Anolis sagrei: one gene and its partners. The protein of the gene in region 3 interacts with the protein of the main gene of each other region in a pairwise test. Links are inferred from orthologs where the notes say so. Each region holds a gene or a part of one and is shown on either strand. Other genes may lie near its edges.

Region 1 (7,262 bases), on a different chromosome or scaffold from region 3:
TTTAATGTTGCATATAGGGTAGGATTTGAAGATTTTAAATAAATAAACAAACAAACAAACAAACAAACAGGAAAACTTTATCAATGGGACATAATACATGTACTGGCTAGCTATGGGTTTGGTTTTTGTTTACCTTGGGGACCAGCATGGCTAGCACTGTTGTTTATCCCTGGACTAACCTTATTCTCAATGGGATTAGGAACTAGGAAAAGATAGGTCTATAGTGAGTTGGGGGGGGGGGGATGTGAAGACTACCAACACAGTCTTACCTTCCAAACTGTACCCCCACCCCCAGCTTTTTAAAAAGTCAATTTGGACTGCAACACAATGAAGCTTCAGAGGAAGGTTATTACGACCCCTCCCCCAATGTCCTGAGGAAGATCTGAAGTTGGGAGTTGGATAGGAGTGGCCAAGAGAAAGGTGTTCATGACTGGAAGGGAGGGAGAGGATGTCACCTGCTCCAAAAGGAACACATGAGAGCAAAGAAAAAAAAGGAGGAAACTTTCACCTTCTCTTCACCCCCCATATTTCCCCACCTTGAACTATGGGTGCTTCTACCCTATCAGAATTAATGCGGTTTGGCAGTGTTTTAACCACCCTGGCTCAATCCCATGGAATCCTGGCAGTTGTAATTTGGTGAGGTCCCAGCACTCTTTGGCAGAGAAGGCTCAAGACTTTTTGAAACTACAACTCCCAGGATTCTGCTGCATCAAGTCACGACAGTTGATGGGCTGTCACACTGCATTAATTCCAAGACAATGTTGGGTTTCAACATCACTACCTATTCTCTGGTGGCACAGCGGGTTAAACCACTGAGCTGCTAAACTTGCTTACTGAAAGGTCAGCGGTTCAAATCTGGGGAATGGTGTGAGCTCCCTCTGTTAGCCCCAGCTTCTGCCAACCTAGCAGTTCGAAAACATGCAAATGTGAGTAGATCAATAGGTACTGCTTCTGCAGGAAGGGAACAGTGCTGGCCACATGACCTTGGAAGTGTCTATAGACAACACGGGTTCTTTGGCTTAGAAATAAAGATGAGCATCCCCCCTCCCCCCCAAGCTTCAGAAACAACTAGACTTAATGTCAGGGAAAAGCTTTACCTTTACCTTCTCTCCAAAGCATGAAAGGGAGATACACTGGACACCCCTTCCAGGAGAGGTTGGAGGAGGGGGAAAATAGCAATGCTTGCATGAGAGATTGCAGCTTGGCAGAGCTAAGGAAAGCCTAGCCTAGGTGCATCTAGAAATAATGCAGCCTGGTACCACTATGGCTCAATTTCCAATGGCATTTGGAGTTTGACGAGGCACCGGCCCTCTTGGGCAGAGTAGACTGAAGACCTTGTAAAACTACCCATCCCATGATTCCATGGCAGTGAAAGTGGTGTCAAAGTGCATCATTCCCACAGCATAGACTAGGCATGGAAGATATAAGATGCCATCATTATTCTAAATGTGTATTACCTTGGCTGAGCCTGAAGCAGGCATGGGCAAACTTTGGCCCTCCAGGTGTTTTGGACTTCAACTCCCACAATTCCTAACACCCTACCGACTGTCAAAACATCTGGAGGGACGATGTTTGCCCATGCCTGGCCAAGGCGGGAGCCAAGTGCAATGCCAGGGAGGGAATGCAGGTCAGCTGAGTGGAAGCAATGGCTCTCCGGGAGGGGAAGACCAGCGGGGGGAGGAGGAGGAGGAAGAGGAGGCGGAGGGGTGAGAGGAGAAGACCCCCCCCCCCACCGGAGGGAGCCGGGCGAGTTGGAGAAGGTAAACAAGCGCCACGCCCCCTCCAGCCCTCCTCCTCCCTGCCGCGCAGCTCCCTTGGCGGCCACTGCTGTACATTTCCATTCCCAAATCTCTCCAGGCCGACGACCACAATGTCCCGCCCCGCGCTGCCAAAGCCACCAGCGCCCCAGCAAAGAAAGGCGGGTGCTGCTACTGCTGCCCTTTGGAGAGAGAGAGAGAGAGAGATAGCTCGCCCTCCCTCCCTCCCTCTCTCTCCAAAGGGAAGGCTTGTTTATATCCGAGGGAGGCGCTGAGAGGAAGCCCCCAACCCTGGCTGGCGACACGTGAGAGGCTCCGATCATGTGGGCGCCGCGGAAAAGAGGCTGCGAAACGTGCTGCGGATCAACCAACACAAACGGAACTCGTGTCGCTCCTCGTTGCCCCGGACCCCGCGCGCCACCGCGGACCCAAAACACACACACACACACAACACACCTCTCCTTCACCCCTTCTCACCCTAAGACTTGGAAGACACTCCAAAGGCCATCACAATCCACAAACACATACAGCACCCCTTCTCCTCATCATAACAGTTGGATTAGACCTCAAGGGCCATCACAGCCCCAAAACACATACATACACACACCTCTTTCCTTTTCAGAGGCTTAGAGAGTTGGAAGAGGCCATCCCACCCAACACACACACACACACACCTCTATCCCTTTTCACAGAGGCTCATATTTGGAAGAGGTCACCCAGCCCAACACACACACCTCTTTCCCTCTTCACATAGGCTCAGACAGTTGGAAGAAGCCATCCAGCCCAACACACACACACCCCTTTCCCATCATATTTGGAAGAGGTCACCTAGCCCAATACACACACCCCTCTTTCCCTTTCACATTGGCTCATAGTTGGAAGAGGCCATCCAGCCCAACCCCTCTGCCAGGCAGGGAGGGAAACCCAGTCGGTTTGCCCCCCCCCCTCTCGTTCCCCCCAAAAGAGAACTGCTCGGCCTCTTCTCCTCATGCCCCCCTCCCTCCCGCCTTCCTTGGAGACCGACCTTTGGGTCTGGCTCCTGCCGCAGTCATTAATCCAAGGGAAGCTTCCCAAAGTTGGTTGTTTACATCCCTGCCGCCTCCCTCCCTCCCTCCTTCTCTCTCTCCCTCCCTCCCTCTCTCTCCCAAGCAGGACGGACCAACATGCGCCATCACCACCATCCAGGTCGGAAGAGGCAACAACACACTTCGCGCACTCGCTTTTTTTTCTCTCTCTCTCTCTCTTGCACGCACCCCGCCTTCCTCCTTTGCAGCCAGGCAGGGAGCAAACAAACGCCAGGAGGGAGAAGGAGGAAGGAAGGAGGGAGAGAGGGAGGCAGCCATCCAGGGAAGCTGCGGAGAAACAGAAGGGAAGGGAGGGAAGGAAGGCAGGGGCAGCTTTCCGCTGGCTTGTTACCTTGTCCGGGAAGCGGAGGGCTCCTCTTCCTCCTCCTGGGGAGCGGCGTTAGGCCAGGGGGCGTCGGCGAGGGCGGGGGGTCCGGGGGCGCCGCATGCCCTTGCCCTTCCCTCTCTCCCTTGCCCTGCTCGCCCCTCCGCTCAGGACTCGAGACAAAGTAACTCCATGGGCGCAGGAAGCGGGCAGGCGCGCGCACACAATCCCCCGGGCTCGGCTTCCCGCGGAGACGGCCGCGCGGAGCCCAACCCGGCCGGCCCTGCCCCGCGCTTCTCTTCCCTTTTTTACATCCACTTTTCCTCCTCTTCTTCTTTTCCTTCTTCTCCCGAAAATCCTGCCACCCTGGCCCTTGCTCTCCCTCCTCCTCCTTCTCTACTGGCCAAGCAGCGACTTCGGATTCTTCTTCTTAGGAGTGGATCAGTGATGATGCTGGCGAGTTCTCTCTCCCCCTTTTCCTTTCTCCACGCGCCTTCCTTCCTTCCTTCCTTCCTTCCTTCCTTCCCCCCTTTTTCAATTTCTTCTTTTCTTGCTGGTTGTTTCTTCCCGGCGAGCAGCAGGTCCAGGTGCAGCTGCAGACGTGGGTCCCATCCCTGATTGTGTTGGGCATGTGTTGCCTCGCTCCCTCCCTCTCGCCCTCCTCCCCTCCTCCCCCTTCCCCTCCCTCGCCTTCACCTCCCTCCGATGCGCCCAGTCCCCATCGCTCGCTTGCTTTTCTCTCCTTGCGCCTTGGGCAGCTGCAAAGGGCTCACTCCGAGAGAGAGAGAGAGAGGGAGGCACGCCAAAGCCAGGCTCGCTCGCCTTCCCTGCCCTCTCTCTCTCTCTCTCTCTCCCTCGAGATCCCTCTCCAACAAGCCTGATCAGGTCACTTTCGCAATGATCTTCAGCCTGGCGCGAATGCACACACATAAACACACACACAGAGGCAGGGATCGCACTTTCTGGGCTCCCTTCCTCGGAGGTGCAACACTCTTTTCCCACCCTCCAAAAAACACCGACCCCAGAGCTTGCTTTCCCTTCCTCGGAGCTAAACCTGCACCTCGCTCCTGATCCGCGGGGGTGTGTGTATGTGTGTGTGTTATTCCCCCCAAAGCATCCTCCTCCTAAGATTATACTTAACCAAATCTTTTGGCGCCATATTAATGACGTACTTCAAATTTGCCATTTCTTCCTGCGTCAAAAAAGAAGACGCGTCTCGCGCGGAGCCGGGAGGGAGGGAAAGAGGGCAGGAGGGGGCGTGGGGGTGGAGCTGGGAGGGAGGCAAAGGAGGCCAGGCAAGAGACCCCCAAGCCGACTGGGTGGCTGGCTGGGTGGGCTCGGGCGGCGAGGAAGTTCCCCTCAGGGGGCTCCTCGGCGTGGCTCGCAAAGTTCTGTGGGGCTGGCCTCTCTCTCTCTCTCTTGAGGAAGGAGGTGTGCGGAGCCCAAGGTGTGTCCCACACATATACACAGAGACTCCGACCGGGAGCCGTTAGGAAGCACTTGCTCCTCCGGCGTGGCGGTGCTTGCCAAGAGGGAGGAGGAAGAGGAGGAGGAGGCGGGGAGCGCGCGCTCCGGGCCTGGAGGGGCGGCCTCGAGGACAGCCTGCCTGCCTGCCTTCCTTTTCTCCCTCCTGATTCGCCAGTTTGTCCCACTTCACGCCCGGCTCGCTGAGATCCTTCCACCCCCCCCCCCCCCACCTCCTTTTCTCTCTCTCTCTCTCTTCCTCCCCAAGATCTCTGCGGTTTGCAGACAGACACACAGAGAGAGAACTTTGCACAGTTGACACAGGAAGGAGAGGAGCCGGGTCCGCCCTCCTCCTCCTCCTCCTCCCGCCCCTTGCCGTGCTCGCCTTGACCTTGGGATGATGCACAAAACAAGGCGGTAGCAGCTAGGAAAGCGAGCTGGTGGCTCTCTCTCCCTCCCTCCCTCCCTCGCCCCCTTTGCAACGGTTGGTCACCCCCCCCCCCCCGCCAGAAAGGAGGACAGCTCTTGCTTTTTCTCCTTCCCCGAAGTGCGCCGGCGACCTTTGTCCCCTCCCCCGAAGCGCTGCCCGCCAATATTTGGGGCTTTGGGGGCTGGATGCGCTCCTGACGGCTGAACTTTCTCAACAGCTCCAGAGCTCAAGGTTCAAGAGCCAGCGCTGCTTTCCCACAGCCTTGGCTCTTGGGGTGTACCTTCAAGCCGTTGCCAACCTATGTCAGGCCTGGCCCAGAGTTTTCTAGGGTTGAGGGTTGCCCTGCTTCTTAGCAGGGGGCTGGACTGGATGGCCCACGCGATCTCTCCCAATTCTATGATTCTATGAGAGTCAGTGCCTTGTCCAGGAGTGAGTTTCTATGGTCAATCCTGAGCTGGATCAACCCCGGAGAATGAATGCAACTTGAACTGCCATGTCTCATGGCTATGCAATGCTGGGAGTTGCAGTGTTGCATGGTTGTGTGTTTGGTTTTTTTTGCCCTCTCTGACACAGAGTACTTGGTGCCTTGCCAAACTACAAATCCCACAATTTCATGGCAGTTAGAGTAGTGCCAAACGTATTAATTCTACAGCGTAGATGCCCCCCCCCCCCCAGGTCTCTAGAGTCTTACTCTAACTGTGCAGGTACAGCTGTACCAGGAGCTCCAATTTTGTTTGCTTTGCATTGAATGTTCATTGGTAGTCCTAAGTTTCAGGGACTCTGCAGATAGGTGGCTTCTTTTGGCTGCAATCATAGGGAAAGCCACCTGTCAATTATCGTTAGGTTCCCTGGTCCCGCCCCCTTTGGGTTTTTGGAGGGAATAGGAACCTTTTTGAGTTCAGTCCACACAGAGAAGCTTTCCATGCAGGACATAATACCAAGAGCTCCTGTAGAAAGCTTCATCTTCTATGGCTTGGCCAGGGAGATATACAGCCTACGGCTTGGCCGGGGAGATACAGCCTTACAGCTCCTTTGCTGAGGGACTTCAGCCAGCCATCACCAAAACCTGAACTCCTTTTTCCCTGGAAGTCTACAAAGCTCTGCTTGGTAAGGGTCACTTGCGGAAGCCAGACGCAGTTGGTACCGGGTGTAGGGGCTCCATGCCAACAGAGGCAAAGAAAGACTGCCCAGATTAGAAGTTAAGGATTTCCCCATTAGTTAAAATACCAGTCATGAAGATAGTGCCTGTTCCCTGTGGACAAGATTGAAAGAGGCTATAGACTGTCAAGAAAGCCTTGAAATAGCTGTTTGTTTTCATTAATAAAGAACTTTGTTGAACCTTTAAGCAATCTAAAGACTTTGTTTTGGGGAGGTCCAAAGGCCTTTAATCTGAGGCAGCCCCGGCGTCCTGTTAGGCACACAGAATTTATGTCCTGTCTACAGTCTTATGCACAGGCCCAGCGTGTGACAGCACACTAACACTCAGAGTTTGTCAACCAATATTCACTGGAACTGTAAAGGTAAAGTTGTTTCCCCTTGACGTTAAGTCCAGTCATGTCCAATTCTGGGGGTTGGTTCTCATCTCCATTTCTAAGCCAAAGAGCTGGCATTGTCCATAGACACGTCCAAGGTCATGTGGTGAGCATGACTGCATGGAGCGCCGTTACCTTCCCGCCTGAGCAGTACCTATTGATTTACTCACATTTGCATGTTTTCAAACTGCTAGGTTGGCAGAAACTGGGGCTAACACCTGGAGAGCCACAGCTTGAGCAGGTCTAAGTTTGTTACCACTTTACCTGCCATGAATCCATACTTTGAAATCTCAAAATTGGAAGCTTGATGGCACACCATCACTCTTTGACAGAGAAGGATAGATTCCTTGCAAAACTACAACCCTCATGATTAAGCCATTAATCCATTAAGCCATACCAGTTAAAGGTAGTGCCAAACTGCATTGATTCAACAGTATAAACACAGCCTCATTACTGACAAAGAATCCATTTCACAACATAGTGCTTAGAAAATACTATGATGGCTTCATTTCCCCTAGCATTCAAACTGCAATGTTTTATGATACTATAAATGAATTCACACAGAGGCCTCGGTGGTGAGCGGGTTGAAACACTAAGCTGCAGAAATTGCTGACCAGAAGGTCAGCAGTTTGAATCTGTGGGACAGCATGAACTCACGCTGTTAGCCCCAACTTCTGCCAACCTAGCAGT
Region 2 (7,591 bases), on a different chromosome or scaffold from region 3:
CAAGGGAAAACTTCAAGGAAGTTCATGAAGTAAGAGCTTCAAGGGAGATCTCCAAGGTGTCTTTCAAGAAGGTCTCTAAGGCACTGAACCAAGCGAGAGCTTCAAGGGAGATCTCTAAGACATTGAACTGAGAGAGAGCTTCCAGGGAGGCCTCTAAGACATTGAACAGGGAGAGAGCTTCAAGGGAGATCTCCAAGGCACTAAACCAAGAGAGAACTTCAAGGGAGATCTCCAAGGCACTGAGCCCAGTCTTTCAGGAAGGTCTCCAAGGCACTAAACCATGAGAGAACTTCAATGAAGAACTCCAAGACACTGAACCAACATCAGAATAAGTTTTCCAAGATGCCAAACCAAGAGAGAACTTTGAGGGAGATCTTCAAGGTAGTGAACTAAGTCTTTCAAAAAGGTCTCCAAGGCACTGAACCAAGAGAGAACTTCAAGGAAGATCTCAAAGATGCTGCACCAAGACAGAACTTAAAGGAGGTCTCCAAGTCACTGAACCAAGAGAGAACATCAGGAGAAGTTCTCCAAGATGCTAAACCAAGAGAGAGCTTCAAGGAAGATTTCCAAAGTGTTTAGACAAGAAGGTCTCCAAGGCCAAACCAAGAGGGAACATCAAGGAAGATCACAAAAAGAGAGCTTTAAGGGAGATCTTCAAGGTGTTGAAAGAAGTATTTCAAGAAGGTATCCAAGGCACTGAACTAAGAGAGAACTTCAAGGAAGATCTCTAAGACATTCAACCAAGAGAGAAAGTTTCAAGGGGATCTAAAGACATTCAACCAAGGTAGTGCTTTCAACAAGATCTCCAAGGCACTGAACCAAGGAAGTTCTCCAAGATGCTAAACCAAGAGAGAGTGCCAATATGTTGAACAAGTCTTTCAAGAAGGTCTCCAAAGCACTGAACCAAGAGAGAACATCAAGGGAAGTTCTCCAAGGCACTGAAAAAAGCGCTTTCAAGGAGGTCGCCTAGATGGGGAAAAGGACCAGGAATGAGATTCAGCGGCTTGGAGAGGTCCTTCAAAGTCTAAATGAAAAATCTGGAGTGGGTTCCTCTCCCCATCACCATAGGAGCCATCCATTCCTTTATATTTAAGAGCTGGACCCAATTCTTAATCTGCGAAGAATAGCTCCAAATGGTATGATGCCCTCTATATTCCTCCTCTGCTCCTTCCCTCGGCTTAAAGATAATCCCTTTCTGACTTTGTATTAATATTCCCTGGACGTCACCTGGCTTTGGTGGTGGTGTTTAATCCGAAGGGCCTCAATCTTTGTCTTTCTCGGCAGCATAAAACAAAGGTGAAACATTGGAAGAGACCCCCAATGGTCATCCAGTCCAACCTCAATTAATGAGCGGGTCATCAATCCATTCCACTAGCTTGGCTAATATTCATTTAAGAGAATCATAGCATTTCAAACATCAGAAGGGGACCCCGTCTAACCCAATGGAAGAAAACACCATCCAAGCACTCCTGACAGATGAACACCCAGCCACTGCTTAAAGACCTCGGCTTTTCCTCCTTTGGTTTGATAGAAAAGAGGCCCTTGCTCTGTTGACAGTCAGCTTCCAATGCTCATCAGCGTTTTTAATTGAGAATTGCTGACATGTTGGCCTCCGGAGTGTCCTTAAAATCTCCTTAGTGGGAAGACAATGTGACAATTGCAATGGCTTCCATGTAAATGGGCCATAGCATTAAGATTGTATTTATTATTGTTGTTGTTGTTGTTGCATTTATTATTATTATTATTATTATTTAATATTTTAATATTATTTTATTATATATTATTATTATTGTAATATATTACTATATATTGTTATATATTATATTATATTTATTATTTTATTATTTTATATTTTATATTATTATCTATATTATTTTATTATTATAATATTTTAATGTTTTATTATATATTATCATTTTATTATTATTAGCTATTATTTTTGCAATATTATATTATATTAGCTATTATTATTAGCTATTATTTTTGCAATATTAACCCAGGCCTTGCTTTTCTGTCCTGAAAGAGACTCCGAGCAGCAACAATGCTCCAAAACAATGTAATGTACCCTTATTAATACATAATATACTAATAAAATATTAAAATAACAAATACTACTAATAGAGCAGTAATATATAATGATAATATAATATATAATAATAAATATAATACAATAATAGATAATATAATAAAACAATCATATATAATAATAACTATATACAAAATAAAAATAATACAAGCATACATATAATGTAACATATAATACACATTATATAGTAATATATAATATACTAATAAAATAGTATATAATAATAAGTATATAGTATAATAAAAATAAAATAATAAATATAATATAATAATATATAATAAACTAATAGTGTATAATGATAATGATATAATATCTAATAAAAATATAATAGTAAAGTAATATATAGAATGATATTAATATAATATATATTATAATATATTATAATATATATATAATATTATGATATAGTATAATAATAAAAATAACATAATTATCACTGACGTACAAATGTGAAGGAAAGAACGATAGAATACAATGCAGCAAAGGTGGAAGCCGCCTGCTTGACCTCTGAGCATGCACAGAGTGCAAAGGAGCCTGCGAGAAACAAAGCTGGATGGAGATTATGGTGGAGCGGAGGAAAAGGAAGCCATCGGAGGAGAAATAAATGAAATAAGGAGGAGTGGTCTCACCTACCGCAAAGGAGGAAGCGGCACAAAAGCAGATCTGCTTCATGGTGCCCCCGAGGAAGTAGCGGGTCGCCATCCATCCGAATGCAAAGGAGCGAAACAGGGGAGAATGGAGAAGGCAAAGATGAAGGATGCTCTCGGCTCAGATGCTGGGAAGAAAGTGGTCCAGCGAAGATCAGAAAGGGGAAAGGATGGAGCCAAACAGTGGCCTCTAGTGGCCGATGGGGGAGTTGCAAGGGCGAAGATTAAGAAGATCAGAAAGGGAAAAGGAGGGAGTCCAACAGTGGAGAGTTGCAATGGCAAAAAAGAAGCTCGGGAAGGGAAAAATATAGTGTCAGGTAGTGGCCGCTAGTGGCCGATGGCGGAATTGCAATGGCAAAGGAGAAGCTCAGGAAGGGAAAAGGCTGGAGTCAGGCAGTGGCCTCTAGTGGCCAATGGCGGAATTGCAATGGCAAAGGAGAAGCTCAGGAAGGGAAAAGGCTGGAGTCAGGCAGTGGCCTCTAGTGGCCAATGGCGGAATTGCATTGGCAAAGAAGAAGCTCAGGAAGGGAAAAGGATGGACTCAGGCAGTGGCCTCTAGTGGCCAATGAGGGAATTGCATTGGCAAAGAAGAAGCTCAGGAAGGGAAAAGGATGGACTCAGGCAGTGGCCTCTAGTGGCCAATGGGGGAATTGCATTGGCAAAGAAGAAGCTCAGGAAGGGAAAAGGACGGACTCAGGCAGTGGCCTCTAGTGGCCAATGGGGGAATTGCATTGGCAAAGAAGAAGCTCAGGAAGGGAAAAGGATGGACTCAGGCAGTGGCCTGCATGCTGCAAGTCGCTTCTGGACACAGCATATTATTTGAGAACACAGAAATGCTGGACCACACCAACAACCACCATGTCTGACTACACAGAGAAGCCATTGAAATCCACAAGCATGTGGACAATTTCAACAGAAAGGAAAAAACCATGAAAATGAACAAAATCTGGCTACCAGTATTAAAAAACTCTAAAATTACAACAGCAAAACAATAGAGAGGAAACAACCAGGCACATCTTAACAACTCTCAACAAAAGATTTTCCCAGGCTCAGCCAGGCCTTCAAATGCTAATGAAGGTGGTCAGTTGAAACATTCACACCTAGCTCCAGCAGAGAAGAGCTCTTTGCCCCTCCCCAGCCATTCCACAGATATATAAACCCATTGTCCTAATTCCAACAGACCTCACTACCTCTGAGGATGCTTGCCATAGATGCAGGCGAAACGTCAGGAGAAATGCCTCTAGAACATGGCTCTATAGCCCGAAAAACCCCACAAGAACCTTGCTTCTGGTTGCTTCTGAGGCAAGAGAATCAGCCATCTACGAAGACGTTGCCCAGGGGATGCCCGGATGTCTTGCAATCCTGCGAGGAGGCTTCTCTCATGTCCCCCAAAGCAGGGAGCTTTGAGATGGTTGAACAGAAGCTCTCCGAAGCTCTAGGTGCCCTTACTGCCTACTACAGGGAAAACCAGCTGATCCCTAACCCATCTAAAACACAGACATGCGCCTTTCACCTTAAGAACAGACAAGCATCCTGAGCTCTGAGGATCACCTGGGAAGGAATCCCACTGGAGCATTGCAGCACACCCAAATACCTGGGAGTCACTTTGGACCGTGCTCTGACCTACAAGAAGCACTACCTGAACATCAAGCAAAAAGTGGGCGCTAGAAACAACATCATACAAAAGCTGACTGGCACAACCTGGGGATCACAACCAGACACAGTGAAGACATCTGCCCTTGCGCTATGCTACTCTGCTGCTGAGTATGCATGCCCAGTGTGGAACACATCTCACCACACTAAAACAGTAGATGTGGCTCTTAATGATACATGCCGCATTATCACAGGGTGTCTGCGCCCTACAACACTGGAGAAATTACACTGCTTAGCCGGTATTGCACCACCTGACATCCGCTGGGAAGTAGCAGCCAATAGTGAAAGGACCAAGGCAGAGACATCTCCAGCTTATCCCTTGTTTGGGTATCAGCCAGCACGTCAACGACTTAAATCAAGAAATAATTTTCTTAGATCTACAGAGACACTCACTGGAACACCTCAGTAAGCGAGAGTCCAAAAGTGGCAGGCTTAAATCCAGCACCTCAATCCGTGGGTGATACCAGATGAGAGACTCCCCCCTGGGAACAAAGAAGACTGGGCGACTTAGAAGGCGCTGAACAGACTGCGCTTTGGCACCACGAGATGCAGAGCCAACCTTAAGAAATGGGGCTACAAAGTGGAATCCACGACATGCGAGTGTGGAGAAGAGCAAACCACTGACCACCTGCTGCAATGCAACCTGAGCCCTGCCACATGCACAATGGAGGACCTTCTTGCAGCAACACCAGAGGCACTCCAAGTGGCCAGATACTCTTCAAAGGACATTTAAACAACTACCAAATTTGCAAAATTTGTGTTTGTTTTGTTCTGTTAGAAATGTAATACAATGGTATGGTTGCTGATGACACGATAAATAAAATAGGCAGTGGCCTCTAGTGGCCAATGATGGAATTGCAATGGCAAAGAAGAAGCTCAGGAAGGGAAAAGGATGGACTCAGGCAGTGGCCTCTAGTGGGGCGTAGCATTACTATTATTATTGTATTAGCCATCCCCCTGCCACGCGTTGCATGTGTATATGTGTGTTTGCGTATATATATATATGTAGTTTTGCACATGCATTTTTTGCTTTTTTTGCTTTTTAAGTCCCTTCTTCAGTGTTTTTCAGTGTTTTTCTGAGTGATGGTCACTTGTTGGCTTGATACGTGTCTTGTGTCCAAATATGGTGTTAATTTGTCCAGCGGTTTTTGTGTTATGTTCATCCCACAAACATTACATTTTTATCTATACAAATAGGAGCCTAGTGTCTAGATCTAAGGAAGTAATGCTACCCCTCTATTCCGCTTTGGTTAGACCACACCTGGAATATTGTGTCCAATTCTGGGCACCACAATTCAAGAGAGATATTGACAAGCTGGAAAGTGTCCAGAGGAGGGCGACTAAAATGATCAAGGGTCTGGAGAACAAGCCCTATGAGGAACGGCTTAAGGAGCTGAGCATGTTTAGCCTGAAGAAGAGAAGGCTGAGAGGAGACATGATAGCCATGTATAAATATGTGAGAGGAAGCCACAGGGAGGAGGGAGCAAGCTTGTTTTCTGCTTCCTTGGAGACTAGGACGCGGAACAATGGCTTCAAACTACAAGAGAGGAGATTCCATCTGAACATGAGGAAGAACTTCCTGTGAGAGCCGTTCAGCAGTGGAACTCTCTGCCCCGGAGTGTGGTGGAGGCTCCTTCTTTGGAAGCTTTTAAACAGAGGCTGGATGGCCATCTGTCAGGGGTGATTTGAATGCAATATTCCTGCTTCTTGGCGGGGGGTTGGACTGGATGGCCCATGAGGTCTCTTCCAACTCTTTGATTCTATTGTTCTATGATTTTATGATATAGATTACTAGCCGTCCCTTGCCATGCGTTGCTGTGGCTCAGTCTGTGTATATGTGTTTTGTGTATGTGTGTGTTTGCATATATATATATGTGTGTATGTGTGTGTATTTGTGTATTTGTGTGTTTATATGTGTATATGCATATTGTGTATATGTGCGTATATATTTGTGTATATATGTGTGTTTGCTTATATACATATACACATATATATAGGGGTGTATCAGAGGCGGCCCTAGGTAATTTTCAACAATAAGCAAACAGTATTTGCCCCCCCCCCCCAACCAATCACAGATAAATATTTTCTGTTCGTCGTGGGAGTTCTGTGTGCCATATTTGGTTCAATTCCATCATTGGTGGAGTTCAGAATGCTCTTTGATTGTAGGTGAACTATACATCCCAGTAACTACAACTCGCATATGTCAAGGTCTATTTTCCCCCAAGAGTGCCTCAAGAATGCCCCTGGGCAAAATCAACTATACTGCAAATGCTTACTTTGCGTAATGCGTTGAGCCGCCCCTGGGGTGTATATATGTGTGCGTATATATGTGTGTGTGTGTGTATGTGTGTGTGTGTGTATATATTTGTGTATTTGTGTGTTTATATGTGTATATGCATATTGTGTATATGTGTGTATATATTTGTGTATATATGTGTGTTTGCTTATATACATATACATATATATACGGGTGTATATGTGTGTGTATATATATGTGTGTGTATATTTGTGTATTTATATGTGTACATGCATATTGTGTGTATGTGTGTGCTTGTCTATATGCATATTTGTGTGTATATATGTATGTGTGTGGATATGTATATGTGTGTGCATGTGTATATGTATATATGTTTGTGTGTGTATGTGTGTATTTGTGTGTGTTTGTGCATATACATATATACGCATGCGTGTATGAATGTGTGCATGTGCATATGTATATGAGTGTATGTGTGTATGTATATATGGTGTATTTTTGGATTTTTAAGTCTGTTCTGCTGGGGTTTTGTGTGTGTGTGTGTTTATGGGTGACGGACACTCGTTGGACTGTTATGTGTATTGTGTCCAAATTTGGTGTCAATTCGACCAGTGGTTTCTGAGTTCTGTTAATACCACAAACAAACATTACATTTTTATTTATATAGATTATTGTATTTTTAATATTTTATTATTATGTTGTTATTATGTTATTATTTTATTATATTTCATTACTTCATAATTATTATTATAATATTATTTTATTATATATTATAGTAATATTATATATTATTATTTTATTTTATTTTTATTTTAATATCATAATATTTTTTATTTAATTATTATTTTGTTATTTTAGTATTATGTCATTATTATGTATTTATTTCATTAGGATGGAGTCAGGCAGTGGCCTCTAGTGGCTGATGGCTTCCATGCAAGTGGGGGATGTTGT
Region 3 (7,442 bases):
CAGTATTTTAGTCAGGAAATGAAAATCTAAAAAGAAATGGGGCAGCATTGATAGTGAGATACAACAAAAGCAGTCAAAAGATATCTTGTAAAATTTGATTGAATAATATCAATAATATTTCTGGAAAACCCCATCAATATAACCATTATCAATATTTATGCTCAACTACAGAGGCAAAAATAGGAACAATTGAAAAGCTGTATGCTGAGTCCAAGATGAAATTATTCATATACCAAAATAGAAGTTCTTGTTAAACATAGGTGATTGGAATGTAAATATAAGAAACAGAACAATATCAAAGCCTGTGTGAAAATTTGACCTAGGAATAAGAAATAAAGTAGGAGGGTAACTATGTTCATTGAAAACACATTCTTCAAGCAATTGTATATATGGACATCATCTGATTGATTTATTTCATCTCAAAAGCATTGAATAAATAAGTATAAAACTGATAAAAATAGAAGGAGGCACAAGTGGCTAAATAATTTTTGACCAAAAATGGGCAACAGCGACCACATTGTCTGTGGACTTAAACAATTCTTCCTCTGTGCATGAGGCAGGACATTGTGGCCAAGCATACAGTTGCCGAGTTGTTTCTTCTGCTCCACAGTCGCACAAGGTGGAGGAGTCTTCTAAGTAGTGCCATTTGCCAGATTGTCTTTTGATCTGCCCACTCCACGTCTGAGTCTATTCAGGGACTTCCAAGTTGGCCATTCTTGGTTTGCCCTGGAGGAAGACCCTAGTGGGGGGGGGGGTCCATTTGGGATTTCCTGCTTTAACTGCCTAGAGGGATACTCTTGCTGTTGCTGGGGGAACGTTAAGAGGAGTGGTGATTCTAATGAAGCTTTTCTTGATTTGAGTCTACTGGGAGGAGGCCGATAACCATACAGTGGATGGCTTTCACAGTGTTCAACCTTGTTTCTCTCACAGTTAGCAGCAACTTCCCATCGCACATCAGGGTGGGGAACGATGCCAGGTAGCACCTGATGGCCAATAGAGAAATCAAATAGGCTATATAATTGGAAGCAAATGATGGAGAAGCTCCATTTTGTCTGCAAAAACTAGATCAAGAGCACCTTGTGGCACAAAACATGAACTAATAAGATTTTTTTAAAAATCAAGTAAAGCTAATGACAAACATTAAACAAGTCCTCTTGCAAAATCAATCCTGAACAGCATCCTCATAGAATTGAAATATACTATAAAAAGGAGATGTATATAATTAAACCTAATTGATTGAAGCAAGGAACATTTTTTCAACTGGCAAACACTAAGAAAATGTAACTGAAAAACAACAAATGCATCTAACTTTTTGTACTACAGTGTTTCTGAAATAGTTTACAAAAATATGACCAAACTTGTTTTTCCATCAGCACCATAATATCCTGTTTCTTATATACTTTAAATAGGCTCAGTAACATTTTAGTCATATAGAGTTGACCGAATCAGTTTAGTGCCTTAGGCAAGCTAAGCTAACATAAAGTGCTTAGTCCCTAAGGCTTGCCATGTTATTTTGGCACATGATGCAGAAAATCCCAATGCCTGGCCGTAAAATGAGAACAACAACAAAACAATAACGATTTGCTGCCCCTTCACTGCCACTGAGTAAGACGACCACCTAATTTGCCAATAAGAAGGCAGGCCTTTTATAGGTGTACAAAACATCCATGTAAATGTCGTTCTTATGAAACAAGAAATATTATATTGCCATGTCTCTTGTACTGAAGATCTGGACAGAGAGAGGGCAGGAACTCCTCTTTGAGAACCAGGTTTCTCATCACAACTGTGTAGCTGTGTTAAGGTATCACATTGCATCCTGGAGAGGCCAGTTCTGTCTCTCCTGCTAAGAACTGTGTAAAGGAGGATGAATAATACAGGAGAGAGGAAGCAGTCAGATTTGCCTGAGTAAGCAGAGAGAGAGAACTTTCCCAAGAGGCGACCAGCACTATCCCAGATCAAATAACTATGTTCTTTTTTTCTGGGGCATACACATCACATGCCAGCCAACACAGTCACTCTTTAGAAGTAAAGCCCGAAGGAAAAGAGATCTTTAGAGCTGATTGTAAGTTGGAGAACATGCCTCCTTGTGAGATCCATAGCAATTTATCATGAACTTATTAATCATCTTTCTTTTATTGATAGAGTAAGTGTCTTTGTTACATAAGCAATTCTTTTGACTGCTGTGCAATTGCTTTTACTTATAGCAGCATGCATCTGAGAAAAATACTGGCAAGTCAAAGTAGATGCTTAAGTTTATTCTTGACTGACTGTGTTGAAAAAAAGGAAATTGTAGGAAGCCTTATTGATTCAAGTAGCAAGAGATGGGGAATCTATATGACAGCAGTATCCTATTCCTTTGTATCAAGCCCATGCGTGATAATCGTAAAGCAACACTGTTTGGTTATGAGTTTTTGTTGTATGTATTAGTTTGACTTTTTGGTCAAGAAAGGGATTTGCTGTATTAAGTATTGCAAATTACCACAAGAGGGCACACATGTGGCCTGATTCTCTCACAGTAGGTTTTCATCAAGGGAAGCCAGTTTCTTTTGTTCAGAGCTATAAGGCTGTTTACTGTGAAACCTGTCTTTGCATGTATGCTGTCACTCAGATCATCACTACAGGCCAGGCAGCTCAAGGATGTCTTTTTGTGCTCTGAATTATTCATAAAAACTCCAAACATTTATCTATGACAACTTTACATCTTCAGAACATATTTACAGCATTTGCAGGGTCAACTCAAGACATTTTGGTGCCTCAGGGCGAACAATACATGGTGCCTCCTGCTCACCCAAATGTACTGCCAACATTTCATGGATGAAAAACAGGACACGGGCAGCCAAGTAGTTTCAGATTGTGATCAAGGTGGCAAAAAAGAAGAACACTCTAGACAGGAGAAGCTGCAGCAGTTTGTCTTTGCCTAAATCTACAGGGAAGGGCAAAATTCTGACCCTCCTCTCCTCCCCCTGCTAAATTAATTGAGTGCAAACTATTTTTGCAGTTTGAACCCAGTTTTCAGCAACTGAAATAGGTTAATGATAATGGGAGCAGGAGGAAGGGAAAGAAACTGTGACAATTTAAAAGTTGCTGAAAAAGTAGGACTGTGCCTGCTAAATCTGGACAGTTAGGGGGTATCTGCAATAGTGCAAAACAGCAAAAGCCAACTAAGCCATTCTGGTCCATGAGTCAGGTTCTATGTGCCCTGCTATAACTCCCCAGATCTGTTACCTGAGGCAACTGCTTCAATCTGCTTAAAAATAGGACTAACCCTGGGGCTTATCTGGGATATCTGAAAGGATGCAGACTAGAGATATGCAAAGGAAAAGTGGCTCACCCATTATGGTTGCTATAACAGCCTGTGTCAGAACACACACCCAGGGGCAGCTCAACCCATTACGCAAAGTAAGCATTCGCAGTATAGTTGATTTTGCCCAGGGGTGCCCCTGAGGCGCTCTTGGGGGGAAATAGACCATGGCATATGCGAGTTGTAGTTACTGGGATGTATAGTTCAATCAAAGAACATTCTGAACTCCACCAATGATCGAATTGAACCAAATATGGCACACAGAACTCCCACGACGAACAGAAAATACATATCAGTGATTGGGTGGGGGGTGGGGGCAAAATAGTTTGCTTACCATTGAAAATTACCTAGGGCCGCCTCTGTACACACCAAACTCATTTCCTTTTTATGCTATCTACTCCTTTGTAGAGAATCCCAAATGTGGAACTCATTTTTCAATATGGTACTTTTTGAAAATAAATCTAGTCAGCTAGTAAAAAAGGAACAATAGGTCTAGAACCCACAGGGCAAACTATATATTATAGTATTTATATAGTGTTTATATCCTTACCACTTGTGTGCTGATGACAAAAAGCCCAATCCATCCACCCACCATGACAAATGGAATGTTACATTGGACCCAAGATGTGGAGGAAGATGAGCTTTAATTCTTTGTTCCTGCTGAGGTCCTAATCCAGAGAGGGCTTCTGAGCGTGCTATTTATTTCTTTAAGGTAACCACATGAGAACAAAAGGCTTGAACATCTGATCCATGCAGCTGCTAGAGTAACATGGCTCTGAGAATCTGATGTAAACATTGATGATAGAATGAGGAAAGGGACGTGGAGGGAAAAAATAGGGCAGGATGGGGGAAGGAAAAGAGGACATACTGAAGCCAACATGTAAACAGAGAAGGGGGGAGGATGGGGAAGGAAACAATTACACGTGTGTGGAAGAAAGGAAGTGCAAGAAGGTGGGGGTGATGGATGGGGGATCCAAGGAAAGGGAGAACACAAACAGCCCCCAGCTTATGTTCTGCTTTCTCTGCAGTAATGTGTTCACCTTGTGCTGTCAGCAAGTCATTACTCAGAGCTTGGCTAGCGATTGGCTGGCTAAAAATGCCTCTCTAATCTCTGGGCTGATCTTTACCCCCCTCCCACCCATCTGCTGTGACCTTCCTTCCAACGTGCACAAGCTGAGAAAGAAAGGGAAGAATCCAGTAGAGTTCCTTGCCAGGCAGTTGGCATCCAAACCAAACGTGAGACCGCAGTGCTACTCGGCTGGGACCCAGCTTTTCTGGCCAGGATCTGATGGTTCCTACAACCAATCCAGAAAGGTATGTTGTGGGCAATTTCTTTTATCCCTTAAGACCATCCTGCATCCTCTCCTCCACAGATTATATTCACATTTCTATAGGCTGTTCCATCAGCCAAGTGGTCCTTAGCATCATACTACATTTGGGATGCAGCCAGTCTTGATAGGAATGTGTATGTGTTTTTGTAAACCACCAGCCCATCTGCTATGCAGATCTTAAGGTGTGGGTGTTTGGCCTGTTCCTATGAGACACGTGGGCATCAGGTGGCTGCTGAGAATCATAACACACCATAAGGCCCTCTTTTGCACTGCTGTGCACCAGTCATGTTGTTCATGCTGGGGAAGAAACAGACATTCACTGGGCATTCAGAGAGGCAGCACTACTTTGTGGAAGGTTCTAACTTTGTTTTCTGTGGCACAGTTTCAGTTGACGTTGTTTCCACCTTCAGTGGTTCAAATTACCTGAGATGACTCTTATTTCACCACTTCATTTTCAATATTGCTAACATGATCAAGGTGCAAAGGAGTCATAAGATAAGCATGATTTGGATAAAACTTTGAGGTCCATGAATGAAATTGATAGATGTGTCCTGTCTGTGAGGTTATGGGTAGTCTCCATCCGCGTTCATATACAAAGTTGTTATAGATGAAACATTTATATTTCATGCATAGACATGGACAACAGTACATTGACAGCATAATATAAATAAATGAGAAAAGAGACTCACTCTGCAACACATATAGAAGTCTGGCTTACCATAATTATGACATGGATGTTCCCCAGATGGTAGTCCCTCTTTAGTGTGCTATCTTTGCTGCACCAATGATTTGCTATCTCCAACTGGAAATAGGGACAAAATACTGGCACCATCCTAAGATCAGCTGCTTTGTAGCTGAAAAAGCACTGACCCATAAGCCTTTTAGACTCTATCTGGGTCTTCTTTGTTTTAAGCTTTATACGGGTTTACCCTGCCAGCTGTTTCTAAGGCCACCATGGAGAGGATAGGGAACAGATTAGAGAGAGAAAGGGTTAGCTTGAAAAGGGGTCTCTTGCTTACTCCTCATTTGCAGTAACAAAGTCCTCCAGGGCATAGTATATTATCAAGTACACACTACTAATAAATCATTTCCATTTTTTTCTCCATCCAGACCAAGGAAGTAATGTAACATTACATGTAATATATTAATTTTGGGAGGTAACAAAATTAGAGTTAGAGTTTTGTGCAAAAATAATATAGGAACTGGCAACATCATTACTTTGGGAGCAGAAGCAGTCACCTTCACCTTTCATTTGGTCAGAGGTCCAGTTTTGGGCCTCACTCATTTTTTGTATTGTTAAGTTTACTTTCAATAACAAACAACATTAGTTACTTTTTAAAACATAATACCAAGTCATGAATTACTTAGTAAAATAATAGTGCAGGGTCTATATTCATTATGAAGTCTTTCCTCTATAATTTCAGTAATTTTAAAAGACAGAGAAATTTCAGTTCAAATGCATTTAAATTCTGCCAGAAAAGAACATAGTAAAAACTCTATTTTTTAAAATACAGTAATTGAACTGCTCTAAAGGGATTTATTTTCTTTTAAATGGTTCATTTTCCTTTCTTTTCTTTATTTTATAGGCATCTGTGCATTATTATATTATTTGCTTAACAAATAAGAGAGAATGAAGAGCTGTTATTTTCTAAAACAGCAATAAGAACTGAGAACCAGGGTGGTGCCATGGTTTGAGCACTAGACTGTGACTGGAGACGAGGGTCTGAAACCCACTTGAGCAAGCCACACTCTCTCAGCCTCAAAGAAAGGCAAAGGCAACTCCCCTCTGAATCTTGCTAAGAAAACCCTATAATAGATTTGTCTGATGTTGCTATAAATTGGAAATGACTTGGAAACACATAACAACAACAACAAACGTGAACTGAAGCAGCTATGTACAGATTAAACTTCTTATTTTCAAATCTAATCTATTCATCTCCTAATCTGTTGCTGTTCTTTGGGTATCACGTGATATTCACATTCTGTGGCAGATGGTGGCTTCCATATAAATCTACGTTTTCCCATCAGAGTTTTAATTTAAGCATTAATGGATCTATCCAAGGTGCTGAACTCTAGCCCCAAATATGTAAATTCCCCAGGAAATGTCTTTCAAAGCATAGTCTAAGACCTAGAGTTGATTTAATAATCCATTAGTGTGAAAGCCAGCAGCCAATATTTTTCAGATTTCCACTAGAGGGAAACGCTTTCTAGGAAGGGCAAATGTTTTGATCTGTGGCACCCTGGATTCTTCTCCCTTCATTTGGCTCTTGCTGAGCAACTTTTCAAACTGTTAATCTCCTTAGCATGGCTATGTGTGGTCAGCTGAATATCTCTTGAATCCTCACATCACTCTTAACACAAACCTGCACATCTCTACTCAGAGGAAAGCCTTTGTGAGTTCAGTGGGACTTATTCCCGAGATAGCTTGTATAAGGTTAGCTTTAGACCTAAATCCTTTTGCTCTCTTCTCAACTAAAGCAGACCCATTGATTCAATGAGATTTGCATACATTTTAAACTCATCATTGGGCAAACGATTCCTTGTTTCTGCTTTAGCTGGAGTTAGCAATTGGATGTAGGCTTACATACTAAGAGCTTTGGCTGTTCCTGGATCCAATTTGGTCTCTGTTCAGTCACATGACTGATTATTTTATTGAAAGGAAGTCTTCAGGTGACCTCTTTGACACTCCAGAGAAAGATTCCTGTACTAATAGTTGTTGCCTCTTGTCTTTGTATCTGAACTGCCCCAAATCTAGAAAGGTCAGCACAATTCAATCATAACAGCCAACTCTAGGAAACCAAACGTGGTTA
Region 4 (7,015 bases), on a different chromosome or scaffold from region 3:
GGCCAAAACTAACAAAATGAAATTCAACTGTGACAAATGCAAGATACTCCACTTAGGCAGAAAAAATGAAATACAAAGATACAGAATGGGGGACGTGTGGCTCAAGAGCAGTACGTGTGAAAAAGATCTTGGGGTTCTTGTGGACAACAAGTTAAACATGAGCCAACAATGTGATGTGACGGCAAAAAAGCCATATTTGGTCTGCATCAATAGTATAGCGTCTAGGTCCAGGGAAGTCATGCTACCCATACTCTATTGTGCCTTGGTTAGACCACACCTGGAATATTGTGTCCAATTCTGGGCACACACACAATTGAAGAGAGATATTGACAAGCTGGAATGTGTCCAAAGACTAAAATGATCAAGGGTCTGGAGATCAAGCCCTATGAGGAGTGGCTTAAAGAGCTGGGCATGTTTGGCCTGAAGAAGAGAAGGCTGAGAGGAGACATGTATAAATATGTGAGATGAAGTCATAGGGAGGAGGGACCAAGCTTGTTTTCTGCTGCACTGGAGACTAGGATGTGGAACAATGGCTTCAAACTACAAGAAAGGAGATTCCATCTGAACATGAGGAAGAACTTCCTGACTGTGAGAGCTGTTCAGCAGTGGAACTCTCTGCCCTGAAGTGTGGTGGAGGCTCCTTTGGGGGCTTTTAAGCAGTCTGGATGGCCATCTGTCAGGGGTGCTTTGAATGTAATGTTCCTGCTTCTTGGCAGGGGGTTGGACTGGATGGCCCATGAGGTCTCTTCCAACTCTAGGATTCTAAACTAAGACTACTGCACTGTTGGCATAATGTGAGAAGATAAGATTCCCTAGGAAAGGCAATGCTTGGTATGGTAGAATGCATTGGGAAAGGGGGAAGACCAGATTACAGTTAGGGCCCTTCCACACAGTCATATAATCCCGAATATCAAGGCAGAAAATCCCACAATATATTGTCGAAGGCTTTCATGGCTGGAATCACTGGGTTGTTGTAGGTTTTTCCGGGCTATTTGGCCATGTTCTAGAGACATTCTCTCCTGACGTTTCACCTGCATCTATGGCAAGCATCCTCAGAGGTAGTGAGGTCTGTTGGAACTAGGAAAATGGGTTTATATATCTGTGGAATGACTAGGGTGGGATAAAGAACTCTTGTCTGCTGGAGCTAGGTGTGAATGTTTCAACTGACCACCTTGATTAGCATTTGATGGCCTGGCAGTGCCTGGGGTAATCTTTTGTTGAGAGGTGATTAGATGTGCCTATTTTGCTGTTGTAATTTTAGAGTTTTTAATACTGGTAGCCAGATTTTGTTCATTTTCATGGTTTCCTCCTTTCTGTTGAAATTGTCCACATGCTTGTATATTTCAATGGCTTCTCTGTGTAGTCTGACATGGTAGTTATGAGAGTATTATTTTTATTATTATTATTATTAACTTTATTTGTGTAGTCTGACATGGTAGTTATGAGAGTATTATTATTATTATTTTATTATTATTAACCCTGCTAGCATCTCCTGAAGGATTCGATGCGGCTTACAAAGGCCAAGGCCTCAATTTTTTTTTTATGATTTTTTGTCGTGTCAGGAGTGACTCCTGGTGTGAGGGAATTGGCCGTCTGCAAGGACGTTGCCCAGGGGACGCCTGGATGAATTGATGTTTTTATCATCCTTGTGGGAGGCTTCTCTCATGTCCCTGCATGAGAAGCTGGAGATGATAGAGGGAGCTCATCCACCTCTCCCTGGATTCAAACCTGCTACCTGTTGGTCTTCAGTTCTGCCGGCACATACCAAGGCCTCAATAAAACAACAACATAACAAATACACAACTTAAAGCAAATCAAAAACAATTAAAGCAATATCAGAACAACAAAAACAGTACACCAAAACATGATAAAACTAGGGCCGGGCCAAATGTAATGGGTACAGATTAAAAAGTGCTGAGTGTGACAGGTGGTAGGGTAAGTGCAGTGTGCAGGCAACCTTAAACTCTAATAAAGTGCTTCTGGGACGTGTTGCTGGAGTTTTCCTATTCTGGAAAGGCACATCGGAACAGCCAGGTCTTCAAATACTTCCTAAAGACTGCCAACGTAGGGGCCTGTCTGATGTCTTTGAGTTCCAAAGTCGGGGGGCTACCACAGAAAAGGCCCTGTCCCTCGTCCCCACCAAACGCGCCTGCGACGCAGATGGAATCGCGAGCAGGGCCTCTCCAGATGAGCGAAGCAGTCCAACATTTCTGTGTTCTCCAATAATCTGCTGTGTCCAGGTTGGTTCATCCCACAATATCTGCTTTGAACTGGGATCTAAGGCAGCGTGGACTCAGATAACCCAGTGCAAAGCAGATATTGTGTGTTACTCTGCCTTGATATTCTGGGTTACAGGGCTGTGTGGAAGGGCCCTGAGAGAAAAGCGGGATAGAAATAAATTATTGTTATTGTTGTTGTTATTATTACTATGCCGACCTCGCAGACTGGAGAAGTTCTTTGTCTAAATGCTGATGGGGAAGAAAGGGAAGGAAAGGTGTAGCAGAGTCTTTCCTCCCTTGGCAGAGGGCAGAGAGAAGGCAGGGGGTGCGGCCGAGGGGCATCCTTCCTTTCCCTCAGGCGGTGGCCGGCTGGGGAGACCTGCCACACTTCAGTCCCAGCCAGGGAGGGAGAGGCAGGTCCGAGGGAAGCTCCAGCCGTAGTGAGGGCTCCTCTGGGGCATTCTGGGTAATGCTGGAGGGGGAAAGAAGGCCCCCAGCGTGAGGCGAACTGACTGAGGGGAGACCAGTCAGCCCCTTGGCCGCCCTTCCTCCTTCTCTCCCTCCCTGTCACGCGCCGCTTGGCCCGCGCCTGTTACCTCAGCGGCCACGCGGACGGCTCGAGACGAAGCCTCTCCCGCCTCGGAAGCAGCCGCGGCGCCTCGCATTCCTCCGCCGTCCCCGTCGATGCCGCCACCTTCGCCTCTGCGCCTTCACAGCAACTTCGCCCCGCAGCGCAACCCAACCCGCGTGTGCCTGAGCTGGGGGGGACCGCCCCCGCCCAAAGGCCGCGCGCGCTCATTGGCGGACAGCAATGCCAATCTCAGTCAAGAACGGAGCGGGCGGGGGCAATGAAGCCCTCCTGGCAGGAGGGAAAAAGAAACGATGCGCTCGTTCCCCTCTCAACTAAATGGGCATTGCTATTGGTCCGTAGCGTTCCGAAGGGGCGGGGTTGTTTATACCGAAAGGCGTCGCCATTGGACAGCTGGGGCGTCCGTTTGAAGGGAAGCGGCCCGCCCTTGGGTCTGGGTGAGGGTGGGGGAGTTGTGGCTGAGATTGGGCGGGGCGCGGGGAGAGGAGGGAGGTGAGCCTGGTCCTGAACTCTGGGGATCCGGGTTCGAATCCTCGGTCGGCCCTGGAAACAGTTTGGTCCAGGCACACTCTCTCAGCCTCAAGGGAAGGCCAAGGAAAACCCCTCTCCATACACCTGGCCCAGAAAACCTCAATGGATCTGGAAACGAGAAGTCCAGAACAAAGTTTGCCAGGGAAATACAGGAATTGACTTAGAATCATAGAGTTGGAAGAGACCTCATGGGCCACCCAGTCCAACCCCCTGCCAAGAAGCAGGAACATTGCATTCAAATCACTCCTGACAGATGGCCATCCATCCTCTGTTTAAAAGCCATCATAGAATCATAGAATCACAGAGTTGGAAGAGACTTCATGGACCATCCACTCCAACCCCCTGCCAAGAAGCAGGAATATTGCATTCAAAGCATCCCCGACAGATGGCCATCCAGCCTCCGCTTAAAAGCCTCCAAAGAAGGAGCTTCTACCACACTCTGGGGCAGAGAGTTCCACTGCTGAACGGCTCTCACAGTCAGGAAGTTCTTCCTCATGTTCAGATGGAATCTCCTCTCTTGTAGTTTGAAGCCATTGCTCCGCGGCCTAGTCTCCTGGGAAGCAGAAAACAAGCTTGCTCCCTCCTCCCTGTGGCTTCCTCTCACATACTTATACATGGCTATCATGTCATATAATTCAGATTAATCATAGAATCAAAGAGTTGGAAGAGACCTCATGGGCCATCCAGTCCAACCCCCTGCCAAGAAGCAGGAACATTGCATTCAAATCACCCCTGACAGATGGCCATCCAGCCTCTGTTTAAAAGCCTCCAAAGAAGCGGGGCAGAGAGTTCCACTGCTGAATGGCTCTCACAGTCAGGAAGTTCTTCCTCATGTTCAGATGGAATCTTCTTGAAAATCACATTACTAAAATAGCAGCAAGCACTGATATATATATATATATATATATATATATATATATATAGTACTAGCTGTCCCCTGCCACGCGTTGCTGTGGCCCAGTCTGGTGATCTGGAATATAAAGTAATGAGAAAGTGTTGCTTTCTAATACATGTAATTTCTTTATGCTTGTGGGTAAATGGTATTTCTTGCTGTTTCTTTGTCAGTGTTGATGTGGAGATTGTTTGGTTTGCCTACTCTGGAACATGTGACATATAATTGTCCTTCTTTAGGGGTCCCTTTCAAATCTATGATACTATATCTCTCTGTGTGTGAATCATATCTATCTATATCTATGGCTGGATGGCTCTTTGTCAGGAGGGCTTTGATTACGTTTTCTTGCCCTGATGAAGGGAGTTGGACTGGATGGCCTTAAGTATTTTCTGTTGGTCATGGGGGTTCTGTGTGGGAAGTTTGCCCCAATTATGTCATTGGTGGGGTCAGGCATGTAGCCGGGGGGGGCTTCAGCCCCCCCCCCCCGGAATTCTCATGGTGGTCTGCGAAAAGGCCTTACTGGTGCATTATTTAAACTGTTATGTTTATTCATATCATGATCTGATAACCATACTCAATATATCCCATATGCATGAGGGTATTGGGGTAATGATACAAAAGGTTTGCTAGGTTGAGCTGGCAGGACTGAAGGTCGCAGGTTCGAATCCAGGGAGAGGCAGATGAGCTCCCTCTGTCATCTCCAACTCCCCAAGCGGGGACATGAGAGAAGCCTCCCACAAGGATGATAAAAACATCAAAAATCATCCGGGTGTCCCCTGGACAACATCCTTGCAGACAGCCAATTCTCTCACACCAGAAGCGACTTGCAGTTTCTGAAGTTACTCCTGACACGACAAAAAAAAAATCTGAATTGCAAATACAGAGTATTTTTATTTCATTTGACAGCTATTCAAGAAACCTGTGCGAGCTCCCGATTGGTTGAAAAACATCATTGCTGGTCATTGCTTTGTATGGCATTACATTTAGTAAATTATCATTGGTTTATTTTGAGTCTGTTTATTGATCCGCCTCTGTGAAGGGCATGATCAGAAAGCAATGCACTGTGGCACTGGGAAATGAGTCCATGATGGGCTTGGTTAACACAATAGGGATAATCTTAACATACAATAAAGTGCACCCAGGTGTTGTTAGTTGATCGCCCTCTCCCCAGGGAGCTGATACAGAGGTCTAGGAAAAGGGAACATTCCCAGACTAGCCGAGGCCATATGCCGAATAGATAAAGAAACCCAAAAGTCTCTGACTCGAATTCCTTGTATGTCCCTCTCCCATTCTCCATAATTATATGGGAATGATGGTGATTTTCTCTGGGTGAGGATGTGACAAGGACGAGGTGAGTTGATGTCCTAGGAGATTTCCAAAGAATTCCATAGAAAGGTGATTAGGAATAACCTAATCACCCTTGAACAGGAAGACATAGTTTTAGAATTTTTATTTTTATTGCTTTTGTGGTTTTTAAATGTATTATGACGTGATTTTTGCTTGCTTTTAACCAATGTATGTATTTTTATATGACATCTAATTGTTGCCGATTTGTACGCTGCCCTGAGTTGCCTTCGGGCTGAAATGGGCGGGATAAAAGTGGCATAAATAAATAAATAAACATCTGGCTGGCTGTGTTTTCCAATGGAGCCACAGAGGATCTTGGTATCAAACATTAAGGGTTTTCTTTCACACACTTTTGTGGGAATTTGTTGTCTTCAGCTCCTAAGATTCCGTGGCATTGAGCCATGGCACTTAAAGTGATGTCAAACTGCATTCACTCTACAGTGCAGATGCATCGCTAGACACACAGAGAAACAGAGTGGTGTATAAAAGTTTTGATTCCAAAGTTTCAATTATGCTTTTAAGTTACATGAATTTTGTGGACAGATGGTAGCAGCAACTCCAGAAAATTGTGGAAATGGGACTGCCAAGGAGGCTTGTCTGTACACGTGACCCATCTTCCTGGGAAATTTTTGCCTCTAAGATATGGTTGTTGTTGTTCATTCGTTCAGTCGTCTCCGACTCTTTGTGACTTCATGGACCAGCCCACGCCAGAGCTCCCTGTCGGCCGTCACCACCCCCAGCTCCTTCAAGGTCAGTCCAGTCACTTCAAGGATGCCATCCATCCATCTTGCCCTTGGCTGGCCCCTCTTCCTTTTACCTTCCACTTTCCCCAGCATAATTGTCTTCTCTAGGCTTTGCTATCTCCTCATGATGTGGCCAAAGTACTTCAATTTTGTCTCGAGTACAGTGGTTCTCAACCTGTTGTCTCCAGATGTTTTTGGCCTACAATTCCCAGAAATCCCAGCCAGTTTAGCAGCTGTTAGGATTTCTGGGAGTTGAAGGCCAAAAACATCTGGGGACCCCAGGTTGAGAACCACTGCTCTAGTAAGATATGGTTAGCTGAGTGAAAAACTTAGTCCGTGCTACAAAAGAATATTTTTTATTCTGCAGTCATCATGTGGGTTTGTCCCAGCACTTTGTTAATATGAATAGAAGATTTTGCATGGAAAGGAGAAAGGTTTGAAAAGGTGTTCTTCAATATGTACAAAACACAGACCCAAACTATCTTATAATATCAAAATACTGTATTCTCCATAGAATATTTATGTGATGCAAGCAGTGCGAACTGTGGTACTAAACTGTCTTTCGTTGCTCCTTACTCCAGTGAAGCAATTCCATAGTGCCGTCCTGAGACAGTCTGCTCCCCCTCATTGCTTATACAGGTTGCTTATCTGAAATTCTGAAATCTGAAATACTCCAAAATCTAAAACTTTTCCA

What was found.
Region 1: the proteins of PACSIN1 (region 3) and JADE2 interact in a two-hybrid assay, tested with the Homo sapiens proteins (2 studies listed by BioGRID and IntAct). The link is inferred for Anolis sagrei from reciprocal best matches to the Homo sapiens genes PACSIN1 and JADE2.
Region 2: the proteins of PACSIN1 (region 3) and ANKRD24 interact in a two-hybrid assay, tested with the Homo sapiens proteins (2 studies listed by BioGRID and IntAct). The link is inferred for Anolis sagrei from reciprocal best matches to the Homo sapiens genes PACSIN1 and ANKRD24.
Region 4: the proteins of PACSIN1 (region 3) and EHBP1 interact in a two-hybrid assay, tested with the Homo sapiens proteins (2 studies listed by BioGRID and IntAct). The link is inferred for Anolis sagrei from reciprocal best matches to the Homo sapiens genes PACSIN1 and EHBP1.

The regions. Positions count from the first base shown.
Region 1 is NC_090022.1:91,846,430-91,853,691, forward strand, and holds the start of JADE2 (E3 ubiquitin-protein ligase Jade-2), read right to left. Parts: upstream 3,010-7,262; 5' UTR 2,923-3,009; coding exon 2,917-2,922; intron 2,881-2,916; exon of another isoform or gene 2,782-2,880; intron 1-2,781. UniProt on the Homo sapiens protein: Scaffold subunit of some HBO1 complexes, which have a histone H4 acetyltransferase activity. Acts as an E3 ubiquitin-protein ligase mediating the ubiquitination and subsequent proteasomal degradation of target protein histone demethylase KDM1A.
Region 2 is NC_090034.1:49,847,434-49,855,024, forward strand, and holds the start of ANKRD24 (ankyrin repeat domain-containing protein 24), read right to left. Parts: upstream 3,001-7,591; 5' UTR 2,789-3,000; coding exon 2,720-2,788; exon of another isoform or gene 2,716-2,719; intron 1-2,715. UniProt on the Homo sapiens protein: Component of the stereocilia rootlet in hair cells of inner ear.
Region 3 is NC_090024.1:189,108,220-189,115,661, forward strand, and holds the start of PACSIN1 (protein kinase C and casein kinase substrate in neurons protein 1), read left to right. Parts: upstream 1-4,425; 5' UTR 4,426-4,615; intron 4,616-7,442. UniProt on the Homo sapiens protein: Plays a role in the reorganization of the microtubule cytoskeleton via its interaction with MAPT; this decreases microtubule stability and inhibits MAPT-induced microtubule polymerization.
Region 4 is NC_090021.1:152,430,296-152,437,310, reverse strand, and holds the start of EHBP1 (EH domain-binding protein 1), read right to left. Parts: upstream 3,002-7,015; 5' UTR 2,816-3,001; intron 1-2,815. UniProt on the Homo sapiens protein: May play a role in actin reorganization. Links clathrin-mediated endocytosis to the actin cytoskeleton. May act as Rab effector protein and play a role in vesicle trafficking.